Linked DNA regions of Caenorhabditis elegans. The protein of the gene in region 1 interacts with the protein of each later gene in a pairwise test. Each region holds a gene or a part of one and is shown in the gene's direction. Other genes may lie near its edges. The genes, in order: puf-8, C27F2.10 and npp-14.

Evidence for each region.
Region 2: the proteins of puf-8 (region 1) and C27F2.10 interact in a two-hybrid assay, tested with the Caenorhabditis elegans proteins (one study listed by BioGRID).
Region 3: the proteins of puf-8 (region 1) and npp-14 interact in a two-hybrid assay, tested with the Caenorhabditis elegans proteins (one study listed by BioGRID).

What each region holds. Positions count from the first base shown.
Region 1 is NC_003280.10:7,294,144-7,301,076, reverse strand, and holds puf-8 (PUM-HD domain-containing protein), read left to right. Parts: upstream 1-2,829; 5' UTR 2,830-2,847; coding exon 2,848-2,970; intron 2,971-3,103; coding exon 3,104-3,389; intron 3,390-3,435; coding exon 3,436-3,529; intron 3,530-3,575; coding exon 3,576-4,442; intron 4,443-4,486; coding exon 4,487-4,650; intron 4,651-4,699; coding exon 4,700-4,773; 3' UTR 4,774-4,962; downstream 4,963-6,933. Other genes in the region: C30G12.1 (uncharacterized protein), read right to left, coding at 1-121, 234-485, 542-696, 742-878, 1,085-1,193, 1,241-1,341, 1,390-1,506; C30G12.6 (uncharacterized protein), read left to right, coding at 5,062-5,344, 5,392-6,030, 6,079-6,312, 6,365-6,552, 6,598-6,758, 6,806-6,933.
Region 2 is NC_003281.10:4,982,920-4,989,267, reverse strand, and holds C27F2.10 (PCI domain-containing protein 2 homolog), read left to right. Parts: upstream 1-2,369; 5' UTR 2,370-2,394; coding exon 2,395-2,441; intron 2,442-2,482; coding exon 2,483-2,573; intron 2,574-2,623; coding exon 2,624-2,767; intron 2,768-2,844; coding exon 2,845-3,138; intron 3,139-3,187; coding exon 3,188-3,332; intron 3,333-3,383; coding exon 3,384-3,560; intron 3,561-3,605; coding exon 3,606-3,729; intron 3,730-3,780; coding exon 3,781-3,904; intron 3,905-4,019; coding exon 4,020-4,115; 3' UTR 4,116-4,249; downstream 4,250-6,348. Other genes in the region: wdr-60 (WD Repeat protein), read right to left, coding at 1-128, 476-596, 640-911, 1,096-1,192, 1,493-1,615, 1,684-1,924, 1,966-2,000; putative F-box protein C27F2.7, read left to right, coding at 4,794-4,839, 6,216-6,294.
Region 3 is NC_003279.8:9,658,457-9,667,946, reverse strand, and holds npp-14 (Nuclear pore complex protein 14), read left to right. Parts: upstream 1-3,031; 5' UTR 3,032-3,033; coding exon 3,034-3,219; intron 3,220-3,263; coding exon 3,264-4,209; intron 4,210-4,279; coding exon 4,280-4,397; intron 4,398-4,445; coding exon 4,446-5,262; intron 5,263-5,310; coding exon 5,311-6,409; intron 6,410-6,548; coding exon 6,549-7,153; intron 7,154-7,204; coding exon 7,205-7,606; 3' UTR 7,607-7,773; downstream 7,774-9,490. Other genes in the region: cel-1 (mRNA guanylyltransferase), read right to left, coding at 179-297, 370-523, 577-662, 713-949, 995-1,060, 1,105-1,249, 1,300-1,427, 1,475-1,602 and 4 more; C03D6.9 (Aa_trans domain-containing protein), read left to right, coding at 8,919-9,146; asfl-1 (putative histone chaperone asf-1-like protein), read right to left, coding at 8,120-8,130, 8,228-8,378, 8,428-8,598, 9,226-9,490. UniProt on the Caenorhabditis elegans protein: May serve as a docking site in the receptor-mediated import of substrates across the nuclear pore complex. Plays a role in apoptosis by tethering caspase ced-3 to the nuclear membrane preventing its autoprocessing in absence of ced-4.

The sequences.
Region 1 (6,933 bases):
GAAGCTGATGGCATTGTTGCAGGAGTCTTGGTTTTATCAAAATTTGGTTGTCTAGTTGTGGTTGAAAATGGAATCGTTTGAAGTGATATTTGTCTTGGAGTTGTGGTAGTTGTTGGAATGGCTGAAAATTGACAGCTTTAATCGGATGTTAACTTAATTTATTAATTATAAATTGCAATTTTGAAAATGTTGTATATACTGAATTTTTCAAATAGTTGTCTTGTAGATGTTACCTGTGGATGTTCTTGTTGTGGTTGTCATAGTAGTCGTGGTAATTTGAGGATTAGTTTTAGTAGTGAAAACATTGAAAACTTCTTTCTTTTTTTCTGGTTTCTGTGATTTTCTTGGTTTCATTGTTGTAAAAGTGGCTCTATACGGAGAATCAATCTTCGTAATATCAATGACTGGAGCTACTGGAACTGATGCAACGGGTGGTAATTGGGGTTTAAATTGTGAAGCAGCTAATAATTCAATCATATCCTTATCTGGAATAATGAAATGTTTAATTTTCATAACAAATATCTCGAAGAAAGGAAATCACCTTTCCCGAGTTCAAACAAATTCTGCCACGGACCTTCCATTGCAAAGAGAGGACTTTGACTAACTACTGGAAGGAATCGAGAAGTTACTGTAGAGTTAATATTCAAAAGTTTGTGAAGCATTTCACTAAAATCTCTTTGTGGTCGTGTGCCAGGCCTGAAACAAGATTATTTGAAAATGCAGAATATTGGATGAACTTACAATGGTTTCGAGCTTCTTTTGCTACGTTTCCTTTTTGATTCTCCATACATTCGTCTCATTTTAACTAACTGTATTTTCTGTTTCTCAAAGTTTGTTAATGGTCGGATAAGATGATCTCCAACGTAGACGTGATTATTCTAGAAAAAAACCGTATTTGTTAATTGTAGTAATTAAAAAGTGAAGTGACTATTTCATAGATTCTGACAAAAGAATACGGTAATTGGTCTCGAAGCGTCTTTGACCTATCAATTTCCGATCGTGTCGACCCCTGATACCGTAATATTGAAGATTTACATTAAAACCAGATGGTTCTAACTATACACAATTGGAAAAAAAAACTTACTCGAACAATACAAGAATCCAACACCACTTCAATAGAATCATCATACCCTCCACAGAATTTTGGAATTGTAGGAAACGAGGCTTCGAAAGAATCAAATGAAGATGATGAACTGTAAAACGCTTAATTTTCAAAACAATCGAGAATAGAATGACAAACTCTTTGAATGCACTTAGATCATGCTGATACGAACTAAATATGTGTAGTTCGTGATCATTCAACTTTCGCTTGGAAACACCATGAAGGAATAGGGTACTGTCCTGAAAGATTTGGAAGATATTTTCAAATTGTTTTCTACGAATGCTTACAAATACAGCACATGCTGGTCCAACATAACCATATCCAGGTTGATATTCAGGTGGTGTATTTAGAATTAGGGCATTACCAATTAAAGGTAATATAAAATAATGAAGACTTTTAACCATGGCAACCAAAGGGTACACCTAGTCAAAGACTCTATTTGGTCGTGATGAGTTCAAGTTACGAAGCAAGAACAAAGATGGGACTGTGAGGAGACAAGGGGCGTCGCTTCTCGGCACACAAACTATGGTGTTGTTCCCACGGCCGGAAGCTGCTTTACACGAACCTTATGCAATCGGACGCTCTATGTTCGTACACACACACAATACGCTCGTACGATCGGCCAGCCTGCAACCTTTTTCGATGTGAGGCTTTGTTTTCCAAAATTAAATATACACAAACAGACAAAATCTAATTCTCGTTAAAGGTCAGAAAGGGGTTGGAATGGAGATGACAATGAAATAGAGGTGGGAGGAAATTTGATACGATGGCCGGCGAACGGACGGTCGGGAAGAAAAAAAAAAACTAAATTTGTCGAGAATCTTCACGTTGTTTGCTTTTGCATGCTCTACACACTTTGAAGTTTTTGAAACGGTCATTCGACTCCCGAGAATAAAAAGATGAAGATGTATATCCATTTCATTGTAAAGAAAGAATCAAAACGGTCAAGCTATGTTAAGCACAAAGCACATGGAAAATAAATTTAGAATATTCAATACTATGCATAACAACACTCATTCATACACTTTCTGCCAGTTCTGAAGAGTTGAGAGTGAGGAAATATCGACTTTGGAGCAGGTATCTCTGAGAGCACAAGTATATTCAATTGATCTACTTAGCATTTGATCTCCAGAAAAACGGAGATTAATATAAATGCTATGTTTACATTTACTGTTACATCTACACAGGGTCTTCACTAGGTCAGCTTGGGATTCGTATAAAATTAGGTCCCTGAAGAATTAGGTCTCGCCGCGAACTCGAATCACATGGGTTTTCAGAAAATACAGTACCCGACACCATATTGAAACTACATAATCCAAGCCTACTATTTTTTCAAAAAGTCGAAAAAAATGTTTTTTCTACTCTCCTACATGCCACGCCTCCTTTCAGCATATTACCTTTTCGTATATTAAGTTTTTCACCAGTTCTCCTTTCCATGGACTCTCAAGTGCGTGCGGAACCTCAATAATTTAAAGGAACATGCATTTAATGGAGAAATGGGTTTCACCACGAACACCACGACTACGGTATTCGTTCGAAAATTATCCGAATAAATACGGAACTCCTGTTCTAAATAGTGATTTTTGATTGTTTTTCATTGTTTTCTCATTTTAATGTTCTAAATTCTCATGTGCAACTATTTTAATTAATAAAAATAAATAAAGTACGCGTTGCAATTGTTTTTTCAAGCTGAACTATGCCTCCTTGACCTAAAGTAATTATTTTAGGGGTAATCTGCGTTCCTGATGAGTCGTCCGATTTCAATTGGGAATACATGCACATTTGATCCTTCAGCTTCTCCGATTGAATCTCTTGGGAGGAGCATCGGTGCTCAGAAAATAGTGGATAGTGTATGCGGATCTCCGATTGTGAGTCTTGTTTATTGCAATATTGAAATTATTTTTTATTTTGAATAGAAATACAATGTTCATGCAATAAATCACACTGATAGATTTGCCGCAGTGTTTGTCAATTAAATTTTCAATAAAACAATGATTTCAGAGATCGTATGGCCGTCATATTTCTACCAATCCAAAAAATGAACGCCTTCCCGATACACCAGAGTTTCAATTTGCCACTTACATGCATCAAGGAGGAAAAGTAATTGGCCAGAATACATTGCACATGTTCGGAACTCCACCATCGTGTTATTGTGCTCAAGAAAATATTCCAATCAGCTCTAATGTCGGTCATGTCTTGAGTACTATCAATAACAACTACATGAATCATCAATACAATGGTTCTAATATGTTTTCGAATCAAATGACACAAATGCTACAAGCACAAGGTTAGTAAAAACATATTTCGAATATGGAAATTCTCCGTTTTTACAGCATATAATGATTTACAAATGCACCAAGCGCATTCTCAAAGTATTCGTGTACCGGTTCAACCGTCTGCCACAGGCATATTTTCAAATCCCTACAGGTTTTTTTCTAAACTCAAAAATAGTTTAAATATTTGTATATTTCAGGGAACCAACAACCACCGACGATCTTCTAACTAGATATCGTGCAAATCCAGCCATGATGAAGAATTTAAAATTATCAGACATTCGTGGAGCACTGTTGAAGTTTGCCAAAGATCAAGTTGGCTCGAGATTCATTCAACAGGAACTTGCTTCCAGTAAGGACAGATTCGAGAAGGACTCTATATTTGATGAAGTCGTTTCCAATGCTGATGAGCTCGTTGATGATATTTTCGGCAACTACGTAGTGCAGAAATTCTTCGAATATGGCGAAGAAAGGCATTGGGCTCGGCTCGTCGATGCAATAATTGATCGTGTACCAGAATACGCGTTTCAAATGTATGCCTGCCGTGTTCTTCAGAAAGCTTTGGAAAAAATCAATGAGCCACTTCAAATAAAAATTCTTTCTCAAATCCGACACGTCATCCATCGTTGTATGAAAGATCAAAATGGAAACCACGTGGTTCAGAAGGCCATAGAGAAAGTCAGTCCACAGTACGTCCAATTCATTGTCGATACGCTTCTAGAATCCAGCAACACAATTTACGAGATGTCTGTGGATCCCTACGGTTGTCGTGTTGTCCAACGTTGTCTCGAACACTGCAGTCCTTCGCAGACGAAGCCTGTTATCGGCCAAATTCATAAACGTTTCGACGAAATTGCAAATAATCAGTACGGAAACTATGTGGTTCAACACGTCATTGAACATGGAAGTGAAGAGGATAGAATGGTTATTGTTACTCGTGTCTCCAACAATCTATTCGAGTTTGCCACCCACAAGTACTCGTCGAACGTTATCGAAAAATGTTTGGAACAAGGCGCAGTTTATCACAAGTCCATGATCGTAGGAGCTGCGTGTCACCATCAGGAAGGGTATGTATATTCATGAAAAATGTAGATATAATTATTTCATTCAGATCTGTACCGATTGTTGTCCAAATGATGAAAGATCAGTACGCCAACTACGTTGTTCAGAAAATGTTCGATCAGGTTACATCAGAACAGCGCCGTGAACTCATCCTAACTGTTCGTCCACACATTCCCGTTTTGAGACAATTCCCTCATGGAAAGCACATTCTTGGTAAGATATTGCAAAGAATGATTTAATAATATTCAACCTTAATTTGCAGCAAAACTTGAAAAATATTTTCAAAAGCCGGCTGTCATGAGCTATCCATACCAAGATATGCAGGGATCTCACTAGCCCAATCAGTTTTGTACTATTCCCAACACTCAACTCCTCACAAATGTACCTTTAGTTATCTCAAATCCGGTTGTTATACCGGTTCTTTTTGTTATTCCCTGTGCATTTCTGTAGACAGCTTATCGTAATTTGTAATGTTACTCGTTTTGTAATTTTTTCCTAATCTTATTTTAGCATAAAAATTTGAAAAAAAAGTTGTTGAACATTTGTTTTAAAGATGTTTATATATCTCCCTTATATATCTTGAATTACTTGAAAACCGTTTTCGCACAAATCTAAATGTTTGAGATGGAGTCTGGTGATCATCTCGGAAATCTTTTCGATGATATGGTAGAAGAGGATAACGATGAAGATAGTTTTGAAGAACCTGCGTGTGAAGACAGTTTTGATTCTCAAGAAGCTTCATCGAAAGCTAACGAACCTCAAAACGACAGTTTCGATGAGCCTATTCAGAGCTCAGTAAGTAAACAAAGTGATGATGCAAACGGAGAAGATGAAATTAATGAAGAAGTCATACAAGAACAGAAGGAGCTGGATTTAAATGAAGAGGACTTCAATCTTTTGACGATTGGTTTGTTTGTGAGTATATATAAACGTTATAAGACAATCATGTTACAGAAGAAGTTCCGTTGGATGTTCTGACAGCTCGTATAAGAAGAGTGTTCACCGAAGTCACATATAGAGCAGAGCCTGCAGCGATAGCACTTTTTGACGTCGCACACAAAATAATTTTCAAGTCAACTATGTTAGATTGCAAACGGAATACTGTTATTGATTCGATAATTGAAGGGCTTATATCGATTATTGTTGATGAACGAGAACGAGATCAAGGTGCTGAGGAGGCCGAGCATGTACTTATGATATTCATCGCAAAACTTGCAATTAAAAACAAGTCAATGAAGTGCAGTGATCTTCTATATAAGCTGATTCTTCTTGTCGATCGTCTTTATTTGCACGCTGATTCTTTCGTTCGTTGTCGCATTTATCGACTCATCGCGTGTCTTATGGAAGAAGCGAATCGGTATGCTGATGTTATGCGGGAGCATGGAGATGACGCATTCCTCTCTGATGAAGATCCTACAGAGAGTGAAGTTATGATTCCAAGCGGAGTGAAAAACCGATGGATGGGAAAATTGGCGAAGAGTTTGTTGGACAAGTCGCCAGAAGTTAGATGTAAAGCTGTAATTGCTCTATCACTGTGGGACCACGATATTGAATGTAAAACCACATGTTGTGATGAAGTAACTGTGAATGATCGTAAGTTGGCAACACTCTTTATTAACCAGAATTCACGTTTTTTTACAGTTTTGTGGAAGAGTGTTCATGATGTTGATGAAAGTGTGCGTGTCAATGCAGCTCGTCGAGTTCACATTGCGAATGAGAACGATATTGATAAATGCATCGACTACGTCGAAACGAGCAAGGATAATCGTGTTAAACAAGCAATAATTGTGAGATTAGCATCTGATGTTTCATTGCTCTCGTTTTCTGAAAAACAAAGATTCCGGCTAGTAAATCTCTTAAACAACAGTGATAGTGGTAAGAAATATATGCTGACCAGTGTGATTCAATTGATTTAATTGATTTTCAGCTCGTGTACAGGATGTTATTCATCAACTTCTCGTCGAATCTTGGATGAAGGTGGCTGGTGATGAGATTATCTCTCCTTCTATATTTCCATTCCCGGACTCAGATAATAATAATATTCCTAAAGAATTTCCAAGTATCATACTTGAATATCTCGATCCTTTAGTTGATCCCACTGCAGTTTACGTCTTTGTAAGTTAGAAAGCTTCGGTTGATTTCCTACAAATTGAAATTCAGATGAAGTTCGCCACTGTTCGTTTCATCCAAAAATCAACCGTTCAGCAAGCATGCGGCTCTCTAGATGTTGAGAAGTTTATGAAGGATCTGCTTAGTATGACAATTCCTGATTGTGAAAGAGTTGGGCTGATGCGTCGAACAACCTTTAGGCTGATACCAAAGTGAGAAAATAATTGTTTTTCAATTTTTTTATACAGTCTTTTTCCAGAGACAATAACGATGGGAATGAGGACATAAGAAAGATTTTTTCACGAATATTCATTTCTCGGTGCTTTGTCGATGTCATTTTCAATTTCGCTAAAGGACGCCTCGACGCGACACATTTACGAAGCAGAG
Region 2 (6,348 bases), on another chromosome or scaffold:
TCTTTTGTGGACGAAAAACTCTACAATAAGACTCTTGTTGATAAGATCAGGAGCGGGAGATTCAAAAATCTCATAAGCAACTAGTACACTGTCTGATTCTCCTTTTCGGATACACGTGGATTTACTTTCTGAAAACGTTTTATCACATAAAAGGAGAACGCATGAAAGTAATAGAACTTTGCAATGATGCTCAGCTGAGCTATGTAGCTCTCTGTCACCGACTTTTTGAAACTTAAGCTGAAGTCGTCAAAGTTTGGCAGTTAGGAATGAACTGTCCAAAGTATTGGCAGAAAGTTTACCAAGGTTTGTCAGAAGGTTGTCAGTTGTAAATTTACGATGTTCAGCAGAAAGTTGGCAAAATTTGGCCGAAAGATGCAAAAAATTGACAAGAAATTACCAAACTTCGTCAGTAAGTTGCCAAAGTTCGAAAGAAAGTTGCACTCAAATGCCGGGCTTGTAAACTTCGAAAACTCACTAGTGACAACTTGACAAAGTCGGAATGGATTATATCCCCTGGAAAACTTAGAAATTGACTTTTCCCTCGTTTCATCTTCCTCGGCAGATTTATCCTCGCTGATGAGAATTTCTCGAATTGTCTGAAACTTTTAATGATTCTTCCTCCAAACTCAGATATGAAACCTGTGTTGCAGCAAAAAAGAACTTCTTCAATCTGGCTCTATCAGTTGATGTTCTCTCTTTCTCTATTCCATCTTCAATTCGTGTACTCTCTGAATGTGGACATTGTGTCTCTTTCTCTTCTGTCTCTCCTCTCTCAGTCTGTACTTCTTCTGTATGACAATCTTTTCCAGTTTGTGTTAGGGCATGCGATTTATTTGATGGAAGGGAATTGAATGGTTCAAAAATATTGGAAGATAAATCCGTAAAGACCTGACTTTTTGTTACTTCGATACCTGAAAAAGTTAGGATTACTGTATGAGTAAATACCTGCGCGTTTGAGTAAGCGATTCTGAAAGTTTTGAAGTTACAATATTTCAAAAATCTTTAAATACTACACATTCATAATAGGAGATTGTCAATGCATGATATTTTAAAGCCAGTTGAAGTTATTCATAAAATAAAAAATAAAAATCTTACTGATAAGTCCACGAAGCTTGTTTAATCTTCCAAATGCTCGTTGTTCTTGTGTCTGACGTTCTTCTTCATTGTGATATGAATATGGTTTATTGTCAATCTGAAGTTATTACTTTTCAAATAAGTCTCACCGCGAAAAATTTTATCGTACAGTTTTTTGGAACATTAAAAATTTTTTGTCTAATCTTTTTTTTTTCAATATTTCTTGATTTTTAAACAATTTTTCAGTATTTTAGTTGTACCTAGGTGCATCTTTTCAAATTAAATAGAAAAAATAAAAAAGTACTACCATAAACTTTTTTCGCGTCGAGACCCATCCGAATAAAACTATGCGTCTTCGAGCAAAGTTACGGTAACATTTTAAAGAAAATCAATAATTTTTGAATTTTTTTTAGCTTACCGTAGATTGAACAGTAATTTGTGCATTTGAAATCTTTGGAGCAATTGTTGGTTTAGGAGAAGCTTCTGTTCTTCTCATGTGACTTGTTGCTAATCGTTGCATGATATTACTTTCAAATGAAACCTGCAACTTTTGATTTTCAATCTTTTTTCTAAGTATCTCTATTGATTTATCACAAATTCGTTATCTACCTCAGCTTCTACTTTTGATTCCTTTTGTGGCTTTTCTTCAACTTTCGGAGCCTTTTTCTCCTCTTCATCATCTTCTTCGAAATCATCTTCATAATCTTCAAAGTCATCTTCATATTCGTTCACTGGTTCAGGCTCAGGCTCAGGCTTAATAGTTTTTGATTTCTTTTCTTTTTTATCTTTCTTTTCTTTCTTTTCTTTCGATGATTTCTCTTTATCTTTCTTTTTCTCCTTCTTTGAATCTCTGAATCACAACTATAAAACCAAAAATTCCCGAAAACTCACTTTTCCTTTGACGAACTTCTACTTTTCGATGACATTTTTCATAGAAAATGGAATAAAATGAAATCTTTCTTCGATTTTCGGGTGGTTCAAATGCTGCACATTTTAGTTGCTATGGTGACCATTTTCAACAAGATTGCCCTAATCTTTCTTTCTTCAAACTTTCGAGACTTTCTCAGTGAAAATAATTTACTTTATGAATCTCTAGACATAAAAATGCGAAATACCATTCTTGTTTAACAGTAACCCAAGGAAATCAACTCAACTGTTTTTTTTTGTTTTGAACTTCCGCGCTTTTTTCTCTCGCGGACGAGGTTTTGCGGGGAGGGTAAAATCGGCCATTTCTCCTCTTTGAATTTTTTTTGACGAATTTAGCGCGCGCAGGACAAAAATTAATTCATTTTCAGTTTCAGCAGCTGAAATATAGTTAAAATGCCGTCAGTAAGAAGTATTGAAGACTACTTTGGTCAGATTGAGAGGTAGTTGAGTGTTTTTTACCCAAAAATGTGTGATTTTTCAGCCTCCTTTACCGACAAGACTGGACAAATGGAGAGAAAATTTCAAAGTTTGTGTCGACTTACGATGAGCACGCACAGGAACCGTTTATGCATGTATGCGAATCTGGAATCTTCTATTTGTTGGAAATCTGAATAAATTTCAGATTGAAGCGTACGGTTCGAGATCAAAACGATGCAGAGTATCAGAAGATGAGGTTTTCGATGAAATCGTCTGTTTGCATCTTCATGTTCTCTACAATATCCACGTGGCCCAAGATCTCATCACGGCTCAGTCGACACAGATTCAGGTAATTTCATTGTTTTTTGAAATATAGAATTTGGAAAAAAAAGTCGAAAAAGGCTTTCAAAAGAGCTGTCTTTGCAGATTATTCAACTATTCAACAAAGAGATTCTTCAAAAGCGAAAAGACGAAAACTGGTTTCTTCCAATTTTCTATCGATTGTGCACTGATTTGAGATGGCTCAGTAAAGGCGCAGAAGCATGCGTGTCTGGTGATGATGAAGGAGATTCAAATGCGAATTCATTTTTTGAAAGTGCCGCCAAAGCGATCACAGAATGCTACAGAACTTGTGTTTCGGATGTTCATGCCGAAGAGGGAACCACGAAGAAAGTGGCAATGTTGAATATGACAAATCAGCTATTCCAAATTTATTTTCAGGTGTTTGATGCTTTCTTCAATTTTTTTGAATTGTAATTATAATTTTTAGATAAATAAGCTGAATCTCCTGAAGCCATTGATCCGGGCAATCGATAATTGTGGGTCATTGTATCATGATTTTTTGATGTCGGATAAAGTAGCTTACAACTATTTCCTTGGTAGAAAAGCAATGTTTGATGCCGATTTGAATCTGGGTATGGTTTTCTTTAAAATCTGAAATCTTGAGTTCAATACATTTTTTTCAGCCGAGAAATCTCTGCTCTACGCATTCAGGAACTGCCCAGCTGACAGTATGTCGAACAAGCGAAAGATTCTGATTTATTTAATTCCTGTGAAAATGTTTCTTGGTCACATGCCAACATCCCAGCTTCTCCATGAGTATCGACTTGATGAGTTTCAAGATGTTGTGGCTGGTGTAAAAGGTTTCAACTTAAAAAAAACAACATTTGAACATGAAACGTTTTCAGATGGAAATTTGGCTCAACTCGATGGAGCTCTTGCAGCTAACGAAGCATTTTTCATCAAGTGTGGAATCTTTCTGATGCTTGAAAAGCTGCGAATGATCACGTTCCGAACTCTTTTCAAAAAAGTGTAAGAGTTAAATTAAGGTTTCATGTTTATTGATAATTTTTTTCTGTTTAGAAGTCAGATAGTCGGAACTGCTCAAATTCCTTTGGATGCTTTTCAAACTGCTCTTCGCTTTGTTGGAGTCACTGATGTTGATATGGATGAATTGGAATGCATTATTGCAAATCTTATTGCTTCGGTAAGTGCACAAAGTAAAAATTAACCCAATAATTTCTTTCGCGTATCATTTTGTGCTTAATCTGATGCCTTTAAACTTTTTGCACCTCAAAACCTAATCCGTATATGTTTTGCAGAAGAAAATCAAAGGATATCTGTCTCATCAACATCAAAAACTGGTAATCTCAAAGATGAATGCATTCCCCACGCTTTCTGGTGTCTCTTCTAATTGATCTTACGATTTATTATGTGCCTTATTGTGTTTTCTATTCGTTTTTATTTCATTTTTTTTCAGCTACCACAGAGAAAAATATTAAAGAACATGGAAATGGGCAATTCCCGTTAAGAAAATAAAAACATTGAAAACAAATGTCTGCATTTTTGCGTAGCAAACTTTCGAGATTTCATCATGCACCTTTAAAGTCTACAGTACCCAATTGCAGACATTACATTTCATTTGACGACAATTCTCGTTTCACCTGGTTCGCCGCCAAATTGGTGTTTTTCCGATCAAATTAATGGTGCATAGTCTGCGGAAAACGGGAATTTCCCGCGTGCGGAAGCGTCCATAGGAAAAAAACAAGGCGTTTCTCGCTTTGTTATTGGTCAATTTCAAAATAGTGGACGTGTTCAACCAATTAGAGGCTGTAAAATTTTAAGCTGAGCAATGGGAAAACAAGAAACAACAGCTGATTGGTTGGCCACGCCTACTTTCTTGAATTTTGAGGAGAAAAAAGCGAGGAACTCCGGTTTTTTCGCAGACTATGGACGCACCATAAACACAAATTGAGTTTTTGTCTTCCTGGAAAAATATTTTTAAGTCTATTTATGTAATTCTCTTATTTTAATGGAAATCACTTTCAATCCAGTGTGACTAAAAATTGAATTTGCAGGTGCGTCAGGCGACGACGATGGCGGTGCAACAAAAACGAAGAGGGCTCTCGTTTATTGATGCAAGTAAGGTTTTTTCTTTCATTTTGCAAATTTATTGTCTAAATTGAGTTCAAAATAAAAACCTTCGAATGTAAGTTGTTAGTCAGTGAAACTCTCCGTATTTGAACAGAGAAAAAGCAAATATTGAACTAAATATGGCGAAAAATCAACAATTTGTAGTTTCCATGATCTAAAACAAATTTATATTAAGAAATTTCATTGCATCAAAGTTCATCTTCAATTTCGGAAATCCTCGCCTCGTCGTTCTTTATTTCCTGTTTCTTTAATACATATTCGATGTCAGAAAATTCAAAAATAGGTGACGGAAACCATAAAAAACGAGCGTTTTCTTTGTCCAGTTAATTGCTATTTTTCATAGTGAACAGAAAAGCCGAGAGCATAAAATTAACGCATGTTTTCAAGGAAAAAGCCCACACAGATATGATGTATGATTGTACGAAAATTGTCGGTTTTTTTAAAAGATTTTGACATTTTTTAAATGCTGTTTATACTAATTACTGTAAGAAAAACCAATTAAATACCGAAGAACCATTAGAAACCCTTCAAAAACAAGACAATTACTTCCTAATGAATTTTTAACGTGAAAGTTTGAAAACCGGGAATGTGACGTAACTTTTTTTTCATTTTTCGTCTTCAAACGTTCGTGGGAGAAGCGAAAGTGGCTAGAATTGTTGATTATTTCTAAATTTTTAAATATTTATGTTTCCTATCAAGTTTCCCGGAAATGAATACAGATAAAAGTGAGCGAACTTTCAATTTTTTATTTAGTTGGGGCGGAATATTCAATAATCTTTCATACTTTCATTTTTAGCAGTGAAATAATCTTTCTTCTTAAATGAGTAGTAGCGGGGAATGTAGAGTTCGATTTCAAATACTAGAAAAAATATCTGAAACTCCAAAAATATCATTTGAAAAATAAGAAAAAATGAGAAAAATCCAACATTTTGGACCAATCTCCTTTAAAATGTGCCAGAATCCCAAATTTTCAGCGATTTTTCTGGCAGATTTTGTGATGCAAAATAATTTTCAAAAGTTCATAATTGAAACAGCAGTGAAGTCTTTGATGAAACCTTAAAATGTCTATAAACGATTATGCAAAACGAAAAAAAAGTGTGGATGTCATCTCTCTGTCTAATTTTCTCTTTTGAGATGCTCCATGAGCACTTTCTTTTTTACATCATAAATATTCAAATTGATCATGCTTCTCCCCTTTTTTGCCAACTAATTCGCATTACTTCCAGCGCTATGAATTTTCACAGTAGATTAAGTGTTTTTATTTGAAAAAAAATATACAGATGTGTCGTTCCGTGTCTTTTTAAAGGCAATTTTCTAGTAAATATTAAAAAAAAAACAAAAATCTCTAATTAATCATTTTTCAGAAGCGAGTAACGTCAAAAAGATTGCGGTGATGGCGAGTACAGTGGCATTTGAATTCAATAAAGCAACTCTCAGATTACGGTAGTTTTTTTAAAATCATTTTCTCAACATTTTTTGAAACGTAGAAAAATACCC
Region 3 (9,490 bases), on another chromosome or scaffold:
TTTCCGGATTCAGCCTTGATTTAACCTTTAGAAACTGCCCTGCATTAAAAAAACCAGAAATTCCCAAAAAGATCCAGTTTTTCCAAAAACTTTGACTGAAAATTTTGAAAACGTGCCGAAGATCAAAAAATTTTAATTATGATACTCCGTTTATTTATTTTTTTATAAATTAACTCACTCAATTAAATAGGTTTCAGTGACAGGATTCACCATAGTTTCAACGACATTTTCCGCAGTTCGTAATCCATTCGGCAACGATTTATCTGTTCTTTCTCGCATAAATTTCCACTCTTTTGGCTGAAAAAAAGTAACCAAATTAAAAACTAATATTAATTTCAACATAGATTTGCATCAAAAAATAATGTTTACCCGTCCTTGATTATCAACCAGCAGTGTACATTCGATAATTTTATTATGATACTTTTTGAGAGTTGCCGTTGCTTTCATTGTGCCAAATGGATCGGAAAGATTCTGGACAAATAAATATCCAATCCATTCGGGAAGCATTCCTTCTTTACATTTCCTGCAATTCGATTATTCTCTTGATACCCTTCAATTTCCTCTTTAGAAACTTACTTTTCAACTTTCAGTAGAAAATCAACAGAGTTGTGAGATGGTGGTTTCCACTTCAGAACTTTATCACATCTTCCAGTTTCATACTTCTGTAAAATATCATTCTCAAACACGTTCAAAATTTAATTTTAATTCTCACAGTTTTCTTCGGCTGGAAAATGAGACCATCAATTTCGTGTCCGACATGCTGCACAAATTTCGGTCCAAATAATTTAGCAGTTGCTTCAAGATCATAAAAATCTTTTCTTCTGACAGACATAATCTGGTTCTCGTGCTTCAGGCGTCCAGTTTTGAATGCAGCAGTTCTCATGTCGATAATTTCAGTTTTGATGATTTCAAATCGTTTATAAAATGGCTCTTTCATCACATTAACGCTCTGGAAACGAATAATACATTTTCTTTCCGATTGAAATCAACTTACATTGAATCGCATAATATCATAGATTAACATTCGAGGCTGATCACACATGGCTCCATTGATTTCAACCTGAGAAAACAAATAATTCATTCATAAATTATGAGTTTTCATACCTTATCAATGATGACTTCAGTATCCACAAGGGTTTCCATCAATGGTGCACCATTTTTTGTCACGAAATCAAGATTTTCAATCTCAAAAACCTCGTTATCACGATCAAACGCATAGACATCTCCATCGTTGATATAAATGATGTACCTAAAATTTTAAAAAATCTTTAAATGAAATTTTAAAGAATATTCACTAACCTCATGCCATCAGCTTTCCATGATACCATATATGATTCCTGTTCGAGTAAGTTTATGTTTCCACGGCTCAAAGATACGGGTTGGAGACCCGGAAATCCTTGTTTGTTGTATTTGCAGAGATTTTTAATCTAAAGAAAAAACTATACAGCTAAAGAATTGTGAGAAAATGATATACCTTGGCTTGAAGCATGCTCTTCTTCCCTTCATCTTCACACACTTTAACTCCTCGAATTAATCCGTCCATGAACAATTTCGAATTATCTCCTCCTCCGCTCAATTGATTTCCATTTTGATTATTATTTCCTGAATAAAATTATTTAAACGTTAAGGCTTGAAATTGAAGACAAACCGTTCGTTGCGGGAATTTGTTGGCTTGTCGATGGTCGTCCGTTGTCAATTTGTGTACTCATGCCAATAGACATTTCTCGTTCCCAGTCTGGCTTCTCGGGAGCCAGAATTTTGTCATCTTCTGTGGGATCATATCTTGCAAATAAATCATCGATGTAGTCTTGCTTGTAAATTCCCTTCTGTCGATTTTCAGCAAACTCTCCGATTGCAGCATCGAGACCATATTCCTTAAAAATATCCTGTCAGTTTAAAAAAGATAATCAACTTTTTATTCTCTGAGCTTTTTCTGATTCAAAAAGAAACGTATTTAATTAGACACTTCTCAACAAAATATCATGCGTTGATTCCAATAAATGAGTACATAAATTTTTAGCTTCTCGAAAATTAAACAGTTGGATTGTCATGATGAACTAAACAGTAAATACCTCTACTTGAAATAGGTATGCAGCGATTAAAAATCCTGTTCGATTGAATCCGTGAGTGCAATGCACTCCGACAACACGATCTGGATATTTCTTATGAAATTCTTGAACGAGTTTAATGAAGTTGTCCGTGTCCTCCTGAGTCGGCGACACTCCACGTCCAGCCATTTTCATTTTATGATAGATACATTCGTGTTCGGTAACCTGAACATAATCGTTTTGTTACAAATTTATTTTTTTAATTGAATTTCATACTTCTTCGCGGAAATAATAACGATCAGTGTTTGTGAGGTCGATCCACAACCCAATCTTTTTTCCGTGAAGATGAGGATGTGAAAAAACTTCTGCCGGGTGGAATTGATACCGTCTTTCGGCAATTTGATTGTCATACATTTTACACAGTGGTGTTTTGAATGGGAAAAACAAATTATTGATAAGCTGAAAATGAGAACAATGAACAACCGAAATCTCAGATTTTGCACAGACCGTTCCGGTTTTTGGACAGTGCAGCCATCTATCAGGCAGTCCCATTCTCGCTTTGTCAGGTGTTGGTCCTCGTGTAGCCATTTTCAGTCAATTTAAGGCAATAACGCACAGAAATCGATGGAGAAAACAAGGAATCCGATAAAATGTTTCGCAATTTCGCTAACCTCACGAAACGGACGCGTGCTGGCGCACTTTTTGACAGCTGGCGCACTTTGAGTGCAAGCTTACGCGTTTCCAGTTGTATTTTGGCGAATTTAAAGAATTTTCGAAGTGTTTCAAAATAAACGTTTGTTTTTTATTAATTGAAAGAAAATACTATATTTTTTAACTCCTTATCTATATTAAAGAACATACATCCTCTGAATTTGTTCAAAAAGCTCTTGATCGGTTTTTGAATGCCCGTTTTTTCTTATGCCAGACATCCTTTTGAACATTTTCTCCTCAATTTTTTTTACATCTATTTTTCGTGTTTTCAGAGATGTCGAACGAAGATGTTGCTGAAGACGTTTCTCAAGTCACCGACTTTCATTTCCACACTTGCCGGAAGTTTCGGCTTTTTTCATCAAAGTCAGATGGGTACAGTCAAAATGAGATAAACATTCGAAACCGAGTTGCTACGTCATCTCAATTGGGAGTTACCTTTGTAACAGTTAATTCTAATCAGGTAAAATTATGACTTGTTCAATCGTTTTCAAAATTATTTTTCAGTTATCATGCTTCCATACAAAAAGTCTTCTTGGTTACAAAATCACCCGAGAAAATATGAACGTTGAAGTTACGGATCTACCAATAAAAACAATTCGTCTTCATGGGGTCGTTTTAATCAACGACATGGGAGTTAATTCTGATGGAACAGTTCTCGGAGTTCTTCATACTAAAAACAATGACGTTTCTGTCGATGTTTTCGATATTAAGAAAATTTGTACAAGTTCAAGCATTGAACCCTTCAAGCCGTTGTGTACTACAAGAGTTGGAACTGAACAAATTAATCAAGGAAGTTGTCTCGAGTGGAATCCTGCTTTCCCAGATACATTTGCTGCTTCTTCAACAGATCGTAGCATTTTAGTCGCCAAGATTAATGTTCAAAGTCCTGCAAATCAAAAACTTGTTGGAATCGGAAAATTTGGTGCTGTCACCACGGCAATCAGTTGGAGTCCAAAAGGAAAACAGTTGACGATTGGAGATTCGCTGGGAAAAATTGTGCAGTTGAAACCCGAATTGGAGGTTGTTCGTAGTCAGCATGGACCGGAGAACAAGCCGAACTATGGAAGAATTACTGGTTTATGTTGGTTGGCTACAACAGAATGGCTGGTATCTCTTGAAAATGGAACAGATCAAGATGCTTACCTAATGCGGTGTAAAAAAGATAAACCAACCGAATGGATTCAATTTCACGAGCTCTCGTATTCCTCTTCCAAATGGCCTCTTCCTCCTCAACTGTTCCCAGCTACTCAACTTCTTGTCGACTGGAATGTTGTAATTGTCGGAAATTCGAAAACAAGTGAAATATCAACAGTTGGAAAACGAGATGACTGGCAAACATGGGTTCCTGTTGAAGGAGAAAGTATTTACTTGCCAACTACGTCTAGTGGTAAAGATACAGTTCCAATTGGAGTTGCGGTTGATCGTTCAATGACAGATGAGGTTTTACTCAGTACGTTATGTTTTTTACGGTTTCATTAATTTCGAAACTATTTTTCTACAAATGTATTCATTCTTTTCAGATCCTGACGGCTCTCAGAGACATCGCCCATCTCCTCTCGTACTTTGTTTAACAAACGACGGCATTCTCACTGCTCATCACATCATTAGCACATTTGCAGCTCATATCCCTTGTCAAATGTACGTAGTAATAAAATTTGATGAATATAATAATATTATCTTTTTCAGGTCCAGTCAAAATTTGGCGATCAATGACTTAAAGAAGCTCCAATTTGATTCACAGAAACCCATATCTGCTCCACCTTCTGATCAGACACCCGTTACAAAACCGTCTACGGTGTTTGGGCAAAAACCAGAAGCTGAAACTCTAAAATCATCTCTTGTTGGATCTCCATCATCTGTTCAGACACCTAAACCTTCATCATCACTTTTTAACCCTAAATCAATCGCAAGCAACATTGAGACATCACAGTTAACAGAATCCAAGCCATCAACTCCGGCAGCTCCAAGTTCCCAACCAAAAATTGCGTCAACACCAAAATCAGAAGCAATTCCGAAAATTTCAGACAAAACTTTGGAACATAAAAAGGCTGAACTGATTGCAACCAAAAAGCAGGTTCTTATCGAAAGAATGGATAAAATCAATGATTCAATGGCTGGAGCTAAAGATGCTACGATGAAATTATCATTTGCTGTGGGAAAAGTGAAAACTACAATTATGGAATGTGCTGATGTGGTTAGGGCATCATTAGGAGATTCTAAAGAAGTTATGGACGAACTGAAAAATCTAATTTTGTCGATCGAGCGAATGTCTGACAGAACACAACACACGGTGAAGGAAATGGATTTTGAAATCGACGAAAAAATGGAATTAGTTGCCGGAGTGGAAGATGGCAATCAAGTTTTAGAGAAGCTCAGAAATATGTCAGAAACTGAGAAGCTGATGAGATTCAACAAACTGGAGACTGCTGCCGATTTGTTAAATGGAAAATATGAAGAATGTAGCGATTTGATTAAAAAACTGAGAATGAGCTTGTCTGAGAAGGTTTGCATCGTTTCTTTACTTTTACTTATTTTAATATAATTTTTACAGGAGTCACTTCGAAAACAGGCAATATTGTCACCACTTCGTCTCAGTTCAAATCTCAATCAACTTCGCTCCGGTAGTGAAACCGAGTTGGCTCTTAAAGTTATGCGCAACGTCTCAAAAATCATCATGGATACCCGAGAGCAAATTCAGCGAACTGAATTAGAATTTGTCCGTTTCCAAAGGGACGTCAAATTTCAAAACTTCAAGAAGGGAAAGGAAAATCTGAACTTCACGCAACCACTGGAGATGAGTAGTCTAGATGGAGACGCTCCTCAAGGAAAATCTCTCACTGATGCAGAAAGTATCAAAGTAAGACAAGCACTTGTGAATCAAATTCAAAAACGAGGAATTGTGAAGACTAGAAACGTCATCGTGGAGTCTTATAAAAAGTCAGAAAATTCGGCAGCAATGAAAAATGATTTGCTCGATACTTCAAATCTTTCAAATGCAATTCTCAAGTTGAGTATGACACCAAGACGAGTTATGCCATCTTCTTCACTATTCTCTGCATCTCCATCTACACCATCCACTAAATCAGATGCAGCAACTCAAGCCGATGAACCTCCTATTGTTAAAACTGTCGTGGTAACAGTTGAATCACCAGCAAAGCCAATAGCTTCTGCTCCAGCTGTCTCTTCGCCATTGATAAAGCTCAATACAACAACTGCGACCACAACAATGACGACACCAAAAGTAACAGTTCCAAAAGAAGAAGCAAATAAAACACAAGATCAAAAACCAATCATTTCTACGCCAGCATCATCTTCCATTTTCTCTTCGGGTAGTTTGTTTGGAACAAAAACACAAACACCTTTAGTTTCCAAAGAAGAGTCTACATTAACAACTGGAGTGCCTTCTTTGATTAACAGTTCCCTGAGCATCAGTCCACAAGAAATCGAAAAAGCATCCTCGAAAGTGGAGACACTGAATAAAACTGAAGAAGTAAAAGATGAAAAATCTGAAAATGAAGTTACACCTGACTTGAAGTCTGAAGAGCCTAAATCATTAGAAACAAAAGTGAAAGAGGAGCCAAAACCAGCTGTTCAGACTCCAGTGAAAGAAGAGGAAACGGGAAGTAATATACAAAAAACACCAAGTTTTTGTAAGTTCCTTTTTTGTTGTTAAAAAAATGAGTTTCAACCAAAGAATGATATTCGATTAAATCGATGTAATTATATGAACATTATAAATGTATTGTTTCCATACTTTAATCAACTGAAATTTAAAAAAATTACTTTCAGCGTTCAACTCAACAACTACCCCAAAGTCGACTTCCTCCACCTCATCGATCTTTGGCGGTGGTCTTAAAACTCAAACTCCCAGCTCTTCCAACTCAACAAATATTTTTGGAGCTCGAACCACAACAACGGCCACCCCTACACCTGCATCGAACACGTCAAGTATTTTTGGAGGTGGCTCAAAAGCAGCAAGCTCTCCATTTGGAAGTTTTGGACAGGCTGGTTGCCAACCGGCTAAAACTTCGAACCCTGCAACATCTACTGCTTCTGTGACTTTTTCGTTTAATACTGGAGCAACGTCGGCATCAGCAAAGCCGGCAGGGTTTGGATCTTTCGGTGCAGGCGCCTCTGCTAAACCATCCTCCGTTTTCGGAGGTTCAGTGACTGCGCCTACAGTTCCAAATGTGGATGATGGAATGGAAGACGATTCAATGGCAAATGGTGGAGGTTCTGGAGGTTTTATGAGTGGACTTGGAAATGCGAGAACATCCAACACTTCTGGTGGAAATAATCCGTTTGCACCGAAGACGTCAACTGGGACATCAGCCAGTAGCAGTTCATGGCTTTTTGGTGGTGGTGGTAATCAACAACAACAGCAACAGCAAAAAGTATCGTTTCAAGAGTCTCATTGTATTGTAAGCATTTATTTCCTATTTCAGCCGTCGTTTTCTTTCAACACTGCCGGATCGTCAGCTCAACAAGCATCTGCACCTGCAACAGGAACGTCGTCAGTTTTTGGAGGAGCTCCGAAATTCGGATCGCAACCAGCATTTGGTGCTAAACCATTCGGAGGAGGGGCGAATGCAGGATTATCTAAAAATGCTTCAATCTTCGGAGGAGCAACATCTTCCACAACCAACAACCCTGCCACTGGTGGATTTGCTCAATTTGCATCAGGCCAGAAGACTTCATCTTTGTTCGGTGGAGGTGCAACTCCACAGACGAATACTTCTATCTTCGGTGGTGGAGCTAACACAACTCCAGCTCCGACATCTTCTGTGTTTGGAGGAGGAGCATCTGCCAATGCCAATAAACCGACATCTTTCACATCATGGCGATAATATATTTTTAATGTCTAACATATTGATTCATCAAACTTTAATTGTAGTTTATAGTCCATCTCCCCAATTATTTTCCCAAGTACTTGTTTTATTGATTATCTCGGACCGGTTATTTTGTTGTCTGTCGTGTTTTTGAATATTCATTTTCATAAATTTTGTCAATTAAGCTTCTTTAGAATTATCTATCCTTCAACTTCCAGGGGCGGAAACAAAGCCAGCCGAAAACACTCCTCAAAAATGATACATATCCACAGATTAAAACGAACGGAAAGCAACTTCATTTCAGAAAACTAAAATCTCCTTTAAAGGCAATTTGACATATATGACACTTTGAATAAAAAGTGAAGTAATTTTAGATGCAATTCAAAAATCTTACAGTAACTGATAGTGAGTATCGGAGATGAATAAAAATGCAAGTTAAGAAAGCAATATTTAAATACAAATTAACCAGATCTGAAATCGCGTTTTGTTGTATCGGAAAGGGGATCGACCATCGATTCGGTAGCTTTCGTATCAGTGTTTATCTGAACAAAAAGTTGATTATCTACAATCATAGGGAGATACAGACAAAACAAAAAATAATTAAAATCAATCTAACTTATGATTGAAAGTATCACTTACCACCCATTTCAACATCTCCACTTGCTCCATCGTGTTCCATACTTTCTTCTCCGTTCTTTTGCTCCGTTCCGTCATGTGCATTCGCCATTCGTTCGTTGAAGCTCTCGTTCAAGTCAACTTCTTCAGTATTGGGACCCGTCTCATCATCGTCCTGAATAACAGTAAATTATTATATTCAGATAATGCTAGATTCTACCCACCTCTTCCTCCTCGTCATCATCCTGCCCATCATCATGCAATGGCATAAGATCATCCTCATCGAATACTTTGTTTGCCTCTTCATCAACCGGCTCGGCGACTGGATCCTCATCAGTCCACCGAATTGGGAATGTGGTGACGCGAAGATCTTCGGTTTCGATTTTACGGGAAAGCTGAAAATTTTTGAAAATTCAAGGTCAAAACTGAATTATCTACATTTTTTAACTGAAGGAACTTTGAGATTAATTTAGAGCATTTCACTTTTTCCCTCTTTCCACAACAGATGGTTTATTACGTCATCCCATACAGTACATCTGTGTGCGTGAGCCCGATCGATGATGTCCATCTGCTCGACAGGTAGCGTGCACAACGTATTCAGTTCTCTCATTGTCATTGTCTCACTCTCAACTATTTTTCGTTCTTTATTTTTAATTATTTCATTAGTTTCATTGCTCGTTTAATAATATTTATTTATTTCCTTCAGATTGTGAAAATGAAAGCTACTGCAGCGCAAAATAATTCAACTCATGCTAGTGTAGCGACCAAAAATAGCAACTACAGAGGCGCTACATACATTTTCGACAAAGCTATCGGAGGAATTGTTTATGCAAGTTTTATAATTGCCGGAGCAATCGTCTTCGTTGGAAGTAAGGTGGAGGGCTTTATTGGACTCGACGAAAACCGTTCTGACGATCAGGAATGGACTGTCATTAGACAATAACTGGTGCTTGATTTATCAAAAATAATTTTGTGTGAATGACTTTTGAAATAAAGTGTTTTTTTCCTGAAAAGAACAGAACCTTTTCGATGAGCGGCTTTGCAGGCGGATTCTCTTTGAGCTCTTCGTCGGTGTACTCATTTGCCACAAACCATCCCATATTGATGAACTCCTGATCGTTGTACTTGCAACGAAGGAGAAGCACACTGACACCAACAATATCCTCGACTGGAATCTTTGAGATATCCGGGTGTTCTGCATCAAAGACAAACTTGTGACGTCCTTCAGGAATCGGGCCAACGAGCGCGGAATCGAGAACTTGGTCGAAGTCTCGGGAGGTTCCAGAT